3 linked regions of the Daphnia pulex genome follow. The protein of the gene in region 3 purifies or fractionates together with the protein of the main gene of each other region. This does not show direct contact. Links are inferred from orthologs where the notes say so. Each region holds a gene or a part of one and is shown on either strand. Other genes may lie near its edges.

The links. The genes of interacting proteins can lie anywhere in the genome.
Region 1: the proteins of spastin-like (region 3) and nuclear pore complex protein Nup107-like purify together in Homo sapiens (affinity purification with mass spectrometry; 3 studies listed by BioGRID and IntAct, counting the BioPlex papers as one, with this or other methods). This does not show direct contact. The link is inferred for Daphnia pulex from reciprocal best matches to the Homo sapiens genes SPAST and NUP107.
Region 2: the proteins of spastin-like (region 3) and nuclear pore complex protein Nup133-like purify together in Homo sapiens (affinity purification with mass spectrometry; 3 studies listed by BioGRID and IntAct, counting the BioPlex papers as one, with this or other methods). This does not show direct contact. The link is inferred for Daphnia pulex from reciprocal best matches to the Homo sapiens genes SPAST and NUP133.

The regions. Positions count from the first base shown.
Region 1 is NC_060019.1:10,133,853-10,137,823, forward strand, and holds the start of nuclear pore complex protein Nup107-like, read right to left. Parts: upstream 2,804-3,971; coding exon 2,024-2,803; intron 1,965-2,023; coding exon 1,619-1,964; intron 1,560-1,618; coding exon 1,208-1,559; intron 1,149-1,207; coding exon 680-1,148; intron 615-679; coding exon 1-614. Other genes in the region: protein BCCIP homolog, read left to right, coding at 3,170-3,454, 3,515-3,613, 3,688-3,851, 3,910-3,971. UniProt on the Homo sapiens protein: Plays a role in the nuclear pore complex (NPC) assembly and/or maintenance. Required for the assembly of peripheral proteins into the NPC. May anchor NUP62 to the NPC. Involved in nephrogenesis.
Region 2 is NC_060023.1:10,064,516-10,068,539, reverse strand, and holds the start of nuclear pore complex protein Nup133-like, read right to left. Parts: upstream 2,804-4,024; 5' UTR 2,400-2,803; coding exon 2,362-2,399; intron 2,297-2,361; coding exon 2,166-2,296; intron 2,108-2,165; coding exon 1,776-2,107; intron 1,715-1,775; coding exon 1,409-1,714; intron 1,355-1,408; coding exon 731-1,354; intron 669-730; coding exon 358-668; intron 292-357; coding exon 1-291. UniProt on the Homo sapiens protein: Involved in poly(A)+ RNA transport. Involved in nephrogenesis.
Region 3 is NC_060020.1:8,501,068-8,505,318, forward strand, and holds the start of spastin-like, read right to left. Parts: upstream 2,809-4,251; 5' UTR 2,636-2,808; coding exon 2,515-2,635; intron 2,389-2,514; coding exon 2,280-2,388; intron 1,986-2,279; coding exon 1,927-1,985; intron 1,806-1,926; coding exon 1,635-1,805; intron 1,534-1,634; coding exon 1,414-1,533; intron 1,335-1,413; coding exon 1,240-1,334; intron 1,174-1,239; coding exon 1,015-1,173; intron 913-1,014; coding exon 804-912; intron 730-803; coding exon 581-729; intron 430-580; coding exon 239-429; intron 152-238; coding exon 1-151. UniProt on the Homo sapiens protein: ATP-dependent microtubule severing protein that specifically recognizes and cuts microtubules that are polyglutamylated.

The sequences.
Region 1 (3,971 bases), on a different chromosome or scaffold from region 3:
TGTGGGATGCAAGTTTGTCGCAACAACTGTTGTTGCTGTTGTCGGGGAGAATTTTCCTCCTCGAAGGACATGCTATCAACCATCCAGCCTCCGTCAGGAAAAAGTAGGACGTTATACAGTTTGTCAATAGCTGATTGCGTGAGGGAATCGACGGCTGCCTGCCAGCGTTGAATTTCAACTTGATGTTGCTTAAGATGCTGTTCTTTGAGTAAGTTTTCAGTGAATGATAGTTGAGAACTGGCTCCTCCTCGCTGTTGTTGAACGGTAGCTTCTGTTTTCTTGGGCTTGGAGTGATGGAAACGTGTGAACCATTCTTGAAAGGCGTCTAGTGCATCAATGTAAGTCTGGATGCAAAGGTATTCACGGACAGCAGCCTCGACTTCAGTGGGCAAATCCGTCAATCCAGTTCGTGATTCCCATAGTTCGGTCAATATGGCGACTGTGTCGGGTGGAGTCAACTGGAACGTCAGCTTCACAGCTTCAATCTGACGACGGAGAAGGTATCCCCGCATGAGAGTGTTGGCTTGGATAAGCAATTGACTTCGCATTGACGGATCCATTAACAACCAGCTCAGTGAACGTATCCGGCGTTCATCTTCTGCCGTGGTCGCTACCTAAAAGTATTAAACAATTATGAGTACGCTATGCACGAATGCAGATCGAAATCTATATTAATCACCTGTAGAGAAGCATCAGTGACGTGTTGGACCATTCCGCCCTGGTCGCAAAGTTTGATTACAACTTGTTTGGCGATAGCGTTGACATCAAGTCCGACATCCTGGGCCAAAGATAGGAGGCGCCTTCGCTCCTCGTCGTCACAGGATTCTTCCTGTTCCTCTACCATAACGAGGCATTGAGCATACAGGCGAATTTGATCTTCTGGCAAAGGCAATTGTCCAACATAGACAGCCGCCAAATCAGTTCGTCCAAGATTGACAAGTTGTAGAACGTAAGCTTCCAGGATGGATCCGATGGAATCGTCACATGAGCCACGACCGATGCGCCGGAAGAACAGAGCAAGATGGGACATTAGCCGGATCATGTGAGGGCGTAGGTGAACGCTCCAGCTGTCACCTTGTTTCAGCCAAGACGACATTTCTTCAAGTAATCCGTCAACATCATCCATAATAAGGTAGCGCTGTATGATCCTGCATTTCAAAATTTGCTTTGGTAAATTTCGCATTAGACAAATTAAAGAATTAGTCACCTATATTGGTCACGGCCTTGGGCGATCAAAGTCTTATCTCTGGAGGCAGCTAAAGTTGAGAAAATGGACTCGACGGTCAACTGTTGATTCCAATATTCGTCTGGTAGAATTTGAAGTTGCCGTTTATAATTGACACAGCGACGAAGTTCCTTCTCGACACAGTGGTCGATCATGGCACGCAGATGAGCCCACAGTTGATCTTCCCAGGAACGACAGGCAGGTAAAAGGGCTTTCAAATGTCCACAAAGAAGAGCAAAGATTGCGCGCTCTTCCTCCGACAACTGCACATTTTCGCACTCTTTCCAAGTCATCGTCTTCCATATGTCACGATAAGGATTTCCAGATGGCGACTCTACAGTTGAGATAAATATTTTTATCGAATCCATTGGTTTCTACAAATCTGGAAATTACCTTTCGTGTTGGCTACATCCGTGCGAGATTTCATGTTGGGATCATGAAACAGTTTCCATCCTTCCAAAATTGCAGCCCGAAATGGTTGACCTGCTCGGAAACAGAGCTGCTGGGCTTCATCCAGCTGTCCACAACGGAGTCGAGCAAATACAGAACGAAGCAAACGCATTTCATCTTCTTTGTCAAGTGGGTGAAGACGTCTGTTTTGTTCTCGGTTAGGAGCATCGGGATCCATTTGAGTAACCATATTTTGCTCGACGTTATCTGTACTAAGCCCTCGTTTTTTACTGACCAAAGAATGAAGAGTATTTTCCCAGCCGGCAACCGCATCTCCGTAAAACTCCACCTAATTAGAGTATAATATATTATTTAATAAAAGAAAATTTTAATTACATTAAAAAATACCTGGCTGTAATGGGAATCGTGATAGACATCAGCCGCTCGTTGTTCCAGCCAATCGACTACGAGCTGAGCCTGTCTGATTATGGCATTTTTGTCATAGAGTTGTTTTACCAAGTCATCTTCACTTGTAACATCATCCAATCCACTCCAGATTTCATCAGACTCCATTTCACTGTCATGAAATTCAGAGTTTAAACGATCTTGGTAGAGAGATGCAACCAATCTCCATGTGTCACGCTCAAGTCTCAGTTCTTGCTCCAATTCTTGTGCTTGTGATAGTTTGTTGTGTCCACGAGGGGCCATTTGAATCAATTTTCGCAAAGCAGATACTTGTTCTCCACATTCTGACTCATATTCTGCACACTGATTAAACACTTGATGTTCTGCCCCATATGACTGAAATGTTTTGAGGAATCTCTCAAATAGTTCTAAGACATTTTCTACTCCTGGAACTTCTTCTTCTAGAAGGATGCTCATGAGTTCTTCATTTCGTTTCTTTCGTGATACATTGCTCACTGTTAAGTCTGCTCTTGTCGAATCCAGATTTTTCCTTTGTAAACCAGCACCAATTCTCGTAAATGTAGGATCACTTTCGAAAATAGTGTGGCTAAGATCATCAGACATAAAAGACATTGTATTATGTCGGTTAGGAGAAGGGAGGCAACTGGCCCCCAACATGTCTGATGTCTTTTCGAGTGAGTGCTTTATTCTTCGACCAGGAAGATTTAGTTTGCCAGTAACAGTTGAGTTAGAACCGGCAATAATTGGAGATTGAAACTCCATTGTGCTTATTTTAAAAAGATACAATAAAATTCACTGTCTTATAAAGAAGAAGTTTGAAGGTTTGAAGTTTTCCGTTTTTCGTTTTATTGTAACGTAGCAGACTAAGTAAAAGGGCGTTGCAATTCACGTTCAAAGTTTTATTCATTAAAATAATTATAATTAATTGAAATTGAAATAGTAATGATTTGATTTTTATAATTGTTATAATATTTAATACAATTTTATTCTATTTTTTAACTCAATTTTTAAGATTTTATTTCAAACAATTTGAATGTTCACTTCACTTCCTTCCTACCCCTTCCTAGCAGACAAACTTAAGTTTGTTTTTGACTTTTTGACACGTGTGAAAAATTGTCTTTAAAAATCATGGCGAATTTCAATACTAAACGGCCTATGGAAGAAGATAGCAGCGATTCTTCAGAGGAAGAAGAAGAAGAAAATGATTCTCAAGATGAAGAAATGGGTGAAGATGAGCAACTTGGAGAGAACGACCGAGAGATTCAAGTCGACTTTGAAGGTCAATCACCAATCGCTGAAGATTTTCACGGTATCAAGAGTCTAATGCATCAGCTTTTCCTAAAGGCTCATATTAATTTAAGTGGTCTGACGGAACTCATCATTCAGCAAAACTACATTGGAAGTATATTACAGGTAATAAAATCTTGTGAAGATGTAATTTGTGTACTTTACTAAAGATATCTACTTCTTCAGCAATGTGTGGATAATGATGAACCTGATAGTGATGATGAAGGAAATTCTCTTGATGAAGTTTTTGGAATTACTTCTGTAATTAACTTGACACATCACAAGGTGAGATAAAATTTTGAATTTGTGTTACACAAATTACAATTAACCCAATTTTTTTTGTTATTTACTTTTCCTAGGATGTGGAATGTATTAAAGAAGTAAAAAAGTACCTGTTGGAAAAAACACAGAAGAAACTGAGTGGATTGTTTGATGATCCATCTAACCAGATAGGACTTATATTCAATGAAAGGTTCATAAACATACCACCTCAAGTTTCTGTTCCCCTACTGGAAAATCTATGGTATACAAGACTTAATTTGAATTATATCCCAAGTTTAAATGTAAAATTTTGTTAATAGTAAGGAGATTGATGAAGCAAAAAAATCTGGAAAGCCTTTTGACTTTACACACTTCATTTTAA
Region 2 (4,024 bases), on a different chromosome or scaffold from region 3:
GCCACAGTTTCGCAGACGACATCCACAAAGCAAGGAAAAAAATCTCCTAGCGCAGTAATGTGTCGGTAGAAGAGATCCTGCTGCGTCAATTTGTCATTTGTCAGTTCGACTGCTCTTTCTTGAAGGACCCGTCGGATGGAAGCATCAATAAGTGTTGAACCAGGCGTATGAAGGGCTCGTAGGGCCAAGGATGCACGCAATTTCTCGGCATGTTCCATCAAAACAAATGCACTAGATTTAGCACCGCGACGGTCACCAATGGCTGTCAAGTCGCCCCAAATTGACATGTTCCTGAATAATTTTTGAAAACGTGAACAGAATGTTAATGAATAAAGACTAGTATATAGTGTGACGTACCGAAGGAAAGTAAGGAACAGGTCGTGAGCCTTGACTTTATCTTCCAACTGATGCAGGACTAATAAGGAGACGGTGGTGAACGTTGACTCGTGGCCAGCTGGAACTGAATCTGTCCAACGAGGATCTGTGGCTGGATAGTCGTCGATGATTTGTTGACTGAAATCAACCACCATTCTATCCATGAGCGAATCTATTTGGCCTTTACTGGTTGGAGAGGCAAATAATTCTTCTAGAAGCGACTGTGTTTCATAAATATTTTTGCGACAGAAATTGATGAAAGCCAATCTCAATTTTGATGAGGTAGATTCATTCTGCAAGTAAAATGAAATGCTGTAATTCACCTTGAAAAACACTGATAAACTTTTCAACATACCTGGGCGGGATCAAGGTTTTCGGCCATAATCTGGGAATGTTCCATAATGGATTCATCAATAAAAGATTGGCTGTCATTCGGTCCACCGATTGAAGGTTGTAAAATCAAAACACCGTGACGGGTAGAGAAGAAAACGGGTCGCTGATTAAAGACTCCTGCACCTAGGAAACGTTCATTGGCAGCCTTGACTTCAAGCTTGTCGGGTTCTTCTAGTGGCTCGTTGGACGGTACACACAGGATCCATTTATCAGAGTACAAGTAGGCCGTCGATCCCACGAGAACAAAGCGACACTGGGGAGGGGACGATTCCTGTAAAGATGAATCTGATCGCTCAGCCATGGCTGTGGCATACTTGAGGACACAAAAGGAGGAAAAACCAGTAGGTGGCGAGCTACTTTGCATTGGCAGAGCGGCCAAGGCGTATTGGATTTGGGAACTCAGGTTGGGATTGGAGGCGGCGATCAGCAAGATTAAGTCGTTTTTGTAAACTTGGGCATCAAGAATCCAGACTCTCAATTTGTGGATGCTGTTGCGGTCACTTCGGCTCCAGACGTGCGCAATAAGAGACTCCCTAGCCCATTTGTCAATATCACACTGATATAATAGCCGCTCTGTTTCACCAACCTAGACACAAAACAAGTTTAGTGGGTTATCTTGCAGATTTTTATGTAGATTTACCTGCCAATACTGCAAAGTTTGACTGCAAAGGATTTGAACTTCCAAAGTGTGACTATCTTTTTTCTGGCTCAATAGTTTGACTAGCCGTGTCTCCATCGACTGATGTGTTGAAATGGGTCCAAATATCAACGACGACATTCTACGGCTAATGGAACCTAATAGTCCCTGCGGTGTCTTGAAATTCCGGCACTGTATGTTGGGACTGCCATCAGTCAGGCGAGGTGTCAACAGCAGGACACTGGCAGTTGTTGTGGCTACCAAACAGCCCAGAGGCATAGCTTCACTCAGAGTATCACATTCTTGACCCTGTTAATTTCAATACTGCAATTACTTGTTGTTCGATAAGAATTTTAATCTGAAATTTTACCTGAAGATCAGCATTGATTTCAACAAAAAAGTTTTCGTGAGCAATGGAATCCCAGTAACGGACAGTTCCTTCTGGTGACACAGCAATGCACGATGGGACACTGTCAGCTTCTGAGCAGAAAACCGCCACAAGATCTGATTTGTGTGCTAGATCACTTGGAGGTAAGGTCAACTCATGAGACTTTGGGGAAGAAACAGCAATTGATTTCCTTGAAGGTGTTGATACTGTGTTGGCACCAGCCGCCTTGGAGTACTTCCATATGACAAGTTGCCGTCCACACACAAACCAGGCCCAGCCATCTTTAGACAGTGTAACACTGCATTCCGCTTTCCCTGAAAGCGAACATGAAATTTAATTTGGTCGAGTAGGGTCACATATTTATCAACTTACTTTCTGCCGAGGAAATGAGTTCAATTACAGCTACGGGTAAAGCTGTCCCATAATTTTCTAAGGCATAATTTGACGATTCAGCCAAATTACGAGATGATGCATTCAACGAACGTGAACTGACATTCAATGAACTGAAAGAAAGAAAATGGGATCTTAGCATGTTTGATCAACTTAACACAACTTGTTTAACACATACTTTCTCCGCCCGGCTTTCAGCAAATTTTTTCTATCCATTTGTTCGGTATTTATTCAGTTCCTTCACTTTTTAGAGACTTGAGATATTTTGAAAAAATTGTCGTCTGGCACGTTTAAAAATAAAATCTGACGGTGCTAATGGCGGCGCAATGTTGCCGTGCCTCATACAACTCAATTTCTTTTACTTTTCTTCTCTTATTTTTTTAATGATGTGTTTTGCATACATGAATTTGGATTTTAAAATCATATTAAATACTAAAGTATCATTTCAGATTAAATTTAGCACAATAATTCAAGAAAACTGATTGGTGAAATTGGTGAAAATGTTTTTCATTTGACACAGCGATGCATGTAAATTGAACATTAAAGTTAAACCTACTTTAATTGATTCATGTGTTACTTGATTGAATTGCGTAATTGATCTGATAAAGTAAACGAGGATCTATTTAACGGGCGGATGGATACATCAAGGAAGTCGATTACTAGTGGCGCCTCTGGTGAGCAGAATGGTCGAGCACGAGCCGAATCGTCCGATCCGAGTCAGTTGCAGTCGAGAGTCGAGTCACGACCGTCCCACCTACCCCGGCCAACGTGAACCGGTGCGGGACAAAAACAACAGGAAAGAACGAGAACGAAAGTGGTGGTGGGGGCAAACCAAGTCTTGGAAATTACTTTCAAGCCATTTTTATCTTTTGGTTTCTCAAATTCCCAAAAAGTTGAACGCAAATCTCGCCACGCTCGATGCAACAACCATCTTTTCACAACGGGCCTTGTTGGAAAACTTGAAGAGGATTACCTTTTTTTCTATTACCTCGTGGTTTTTAGTGTGTTGTGAGTGAGTTTTTAAATCATCTACAACCGTCTAGATACAATCAACGTCATCGGTGAGTGAACGATTATATTTTATCTCCATCTTCTTCCACGTTTTTTCCCCACCCATTTGAAATGAAAAGATTAGTGAGATAGGACTAACTTATTAAGAGTTGGATACAATTGCGGTCGAGCCAGGAGCTAGGGCATGCTATATATTCCCAAACGGGACGATAGCACAAACATCACGAAACCAGTGTTGTTGGGCTGTATACGTGCGTGTGTGTGATGTGTACAGTTCTAGATTTATCCGCCTTTCCTTTTAGATATATTGACGAATTCCGGATTATATAGGCTACAACGTGACGAATAATTAAAATATTTCTCGATCGTTGTGTATGTATATTAAAACGGGATGTAGCTCAAACAACGTGCTGGGGGGAAATGAAACAAAACTTTTTTGATATCCCTCCCCGGAAGTTTCAGATAGATTTTCCTTCCGGTACCTGCGAGTGTGTGTGTACATGTGTTATTCTCTAGCACACAAGAATAAGAAGTGAAAGAGGTGATAATATTAGTTTCCCCTCCAAGTGCTTATTTTCCTTTCAAATTGAAGAAACAAAAACAACTAAAAATTTTCTTGTTTTTTAAAAGCTTTTTTTTTCCCTTTTAAAATGGACGTGCTCACTATGATTACCGCACAGCTGCATTCCTCCACTCACGACACGAACGTTTTTTTTCTCTTTTTTAGAGGGTGATGTTTATCGAAATAGACTGGAGAGGGGGGGGGGGAAATCAGGGAGGAGTTATTTCCAAAAGTAGAAGGAGGGAAGAAAAAATATTCATCAAATCGA
Region 3 (4,251 bases):
ATCAGAACTAGAGTAGCTTTGAGTCAGCTCGGCGAGTTTAATGAGTTGTTTTTCACCTAGTGGACTGTTATGCTTTGAAAGAAGTTGCGTTAACAGCAGAACTCTTGCAGAGGCATCCGGTAAACGGACATAGAGTCTTTTGGGGAAACGTCTTGAGTGAAACAAACGAACGTTCATAGGATTTCGTGATTGCTTGCAATACAAATTTTTAAGCGAAATTGGCTTTAATATTTAATACCTAAGGACAGCTTCGTCTAACTCCTGTGGTCGATTAGTTGCTCCCATAACCAAGATTTTTTCTTCGTGCGAGGCATGAAGTCCATCAAATTGACAAAGGAATTCTGTTTTAAGTCTTCGGCTCGCTTCATGTTCTCCTTCCCTACGTTCACAAAGCAGTGAATCGATTTCATCGACAAAAATGATAGACGGCTGTAAAAAAAGTTGAAGAAAATTTCATTTATATATTTCTCGAAGGCACTTTTTTCTTTGTGATTTTTTTTTAGATTACCAAGATAAATAATCTCGGCAAAAACAATAAAGAATTTTTGTGAGTTATTTCTCCTAGAACATGTCACAATACCTGTAATTCTCGAGCAACACCAAATAGAGCCCGCACAAGTTTTTCGCCTTCTCCGACATATTTAGATGTCAAAGACGAAGCGGATATATTAAAAAATTTGGCAGATGATTCACTAGCGACAGCGCGAGCCAGCAGCGTTTTACCATTACCTATTTAAAAATACCAGTAAACCGTTAAAAAAAAGGGGGGGGGGAAGGCTGGTGAATAAATTAATTGTATGTACCAGGGGGACCAAAAAGGAGAAGTCCTCGAGCAGGTGAGCGAAGTCCTGTAAAGAGTTCAGGTCTTAGGGAAGGAAGAATCACAATCTCTTGTAGAGCTTGCTTGGCTTGCTACAGAATTGATAAATAAAAAAAAAAAAAAAAAAAACAAAAAACAGAAAAGAATAAAATATCTACTGTAAGTTCACTTAATGCTAAACGATATGTTTCTACCTCCAAACCTGCAATGTCATCAAAAGAAACTCCAGCACCACCGTCGACAATTTCATCCAGAATTAAAGATGCTAACTTTGATTCAACACCTTTGATACCAGATGCTTTTAAGGTCGGCTTGCCTACGGATGAGGACGGGGCTTTATTCGGTGTAGTACTCTATTCAGGAATCCCAGAATTGTGTAAACAAACTATGGTTGTAAGTAAGTACCACTAGGTAATTACAGAAATAGGTGTGGGGCGACGGTTAGCTGCGGCAACCGGCAACCTAACAGGAGTTGTTTTGGCGGTAACGGAAGTGGTGGCATTCGATCTGGTGACTGAAAAAAAAAAAAACAAAAAAAAATCATTATACTGAGAAAATAATAGAAAGAAATTATTAATTTTGCCTGGTTTTACCTGTTCCTTTTGCATTCGGACTGCCCTTATTGTTGGTTACTTGAGCAACAGGAGTGATATTGGATTTTAAAGTACCAGTTCTACGAATTGGAGTTACGACATTCTTTCGGGTCGTAGTCGCTTTAATAATCGCAGAAAAATGATGAAAAGGATAGTAGCAATCAATTAATCGATATAGAGTAAATTGATTATTTTAAACAATACAAGTATCAAATAAATACCAGATCGTGCTACGGCAATACCGGAAGGACGTGAGGTCGGCAAGGCTCTTGATTGGTCAGAAACTTTGCGATTGCTTTCTTCAGTATTTCCGCGAGCAGGTACAAATTCAAAAGGTAAAACTTCGTCCTCCGGATCACACAAAGGTAAGTGCTGTAAGTCACTCATGCCACCTAAACAAAAAAAAATAGAAAAAGTTAAGAAAATGTAATTTTCAAGTTTAAATCATTTGTAGTGAAAATAATCAAGAAAATGAATAAATTACTTTGCCAGAGTAATTAAAAAATTGCTTACTTAAAAAATGTAGGCGATCTCTCGCCATTTCCAAATTGGTTCTCATCTTCATTTGTAATCTAGTGTTGGTAAAATTTAAATAACAAAAAAGAACATGAGTAAGAATTCAAACAAACACGAAGTTATAAAAATAAGCCCATGTAAATTGAGGCTGCTTAAACTTAGACATTCATGAATCTTGGTGTAAAATGTTACACAAAAAAATAAATAAAAATAAACTGAACTACTAAAGGTAATAGCTACAAGTTCCTTGAATATTTGAATAAAAATTTTATAGGCATAGCTTTGGGACAATACATGTGCAATCATACAACCTTGATTTCTTTATTTATGGGTACAACAACTTGGCTTACCTCTTGGCACTTTCATATGCTTCTCCTATTCCTTTTATTTCAATGCTGATTCCAGATTCCAATTCTTTTATACCTTCAGAATATAATTCGATTGCTACAGCCTTATCTTCTTTATGTGCATAACAGAAGGGCCCACAAAGCAAGTTAATATTATAAATACATTTATAAATGAGAATGATGAATCATGTGATTTGATTTCAGAAAAATATATATACATATAGATTCGCTGGGTTACCATTAAAATTTCGTTCGTCAAGTTCCAGGGCTCGCGAGATTAATTCGAATGCTTTTATATGGCACTGTTTTTGCCTATTGACGATATCACTTGAGGAACCTTTACCACCTGAGTTCCACATTTTAAATAGGGTGTACTAATACTAAATGGTTGAAGCCTGAAGGAGGAAGTGTCGTGGAAAGTTTTGAGATATCAAAAATATCAGGTGTATATGTCGTTACTCGTCACGTCAGCTTCGTCAACAAGAATCAGACAGACATTGACATTCACTTTGAGCTGAGGCAACAAAGCCAAATTTCAACAAAGGCAAACAAAATTTACGAAAATCAATCATACTTCATACAATGATACAAAAATGGCAAAAGTAATAATATTAGAAAAATAGCAATTAAGTATGATTTACACGTTATTTAAATGTTTTTATTTTTTAAATATTTTTTTACTCTTTGGATCAGAGCTATAGAATACTGCGGACTGTGGTACCGCCACTGCCATGTTAACTCCTCTCGGAAATTTTCTCTAGATTGAAGCCAACTTTAGCAATCGATAGTGAAAATCGGAGCTAAGATATCGATCTCGACCCTTACCACTCCTCCAATTTTCCCTCTATTCCTATACCATTCCTATACCCTATTTCCCCACACACCCGCCGTGGCGCTTATAGCTACGGGACAGGGCAGGCAATAAGCAGGCTTCACTTCCAGAGAAAAAAAGCAATGGAAGGGCTCGCCATATAAGTGGCGGTACCAGTAGGCTATTCTATAGCTCTGCTTTGGATGGTTATGGCAGGTTAATAGGTTATGGAGAGCATGGACTACTCTAATTAAGGACGGGACTCTTCGGCGTTTCCTATGTCGGCAATGTACATTTTTTTGTGGGAGAAGTAGAATCAGAATTAAAAAATTACCATATAATTACCATATGTTCCTATACCTAACATTTATTTTTATAGAGATATTTCCAATTCCTTAACGGAAAATTTGAAATAGGGCAAAACACCGGTGCCATCTAGGAACCAAACCTCCTAAGCTCTTGTTAGTTTGCAAGCAGATGCCCATGCATGCATAACGAGAGAAAGAGAGACCACTCTATTATCTCTAGTCCTACATAGCTGCCTAACTATCTTTTACCTTGTAGCGTATATTCTTAAGAGCTTAGGATGTTTGGTTGCTAGATGGCACCGGTGTTTTGTCCTTTTATCCCTACTCCTGAAAATAAATTTCTAATATCTTAAGGATTAGTTTATTTCGCTAAGATTTATATCCATAGTTGGAATCAGCGAAAAAAACTGAATTTAATGATATTTTTTATTAATGTTTTCATGAAAATACCCCACCCGACTAGCTATAACAAGGCAGGATAGCGAAGATTCCCGTCCTTAATTAGAGTAGTCCATGTGGAGAGATGTTTTCCAATCTTCATGTTAAATATCCCCCAAGGAATGTCGTTTATGACGTGCCGTTTGGCTCACTACCCCTGGCTGACTTTGAAATACCGTGGCGCCACCTAGTGAGCGTATCTGCAACTACCGGTCTGGGGATGCTCCTACACCAGCCACCATGTAGTGTAGTGTATGGCGTAGTATAGTGTGGTGTAGTGTAGGGAAACCGTTTTTAATTTTTATTTTCTGACTCCTGATATAGTGTAGGGTAGTATAGTATACTATAGTGAAAACGGGTCTTTCTACAAATTTGTCCCCATGTATGGAAAAAACATTATTTACAAAAAATTACGGGA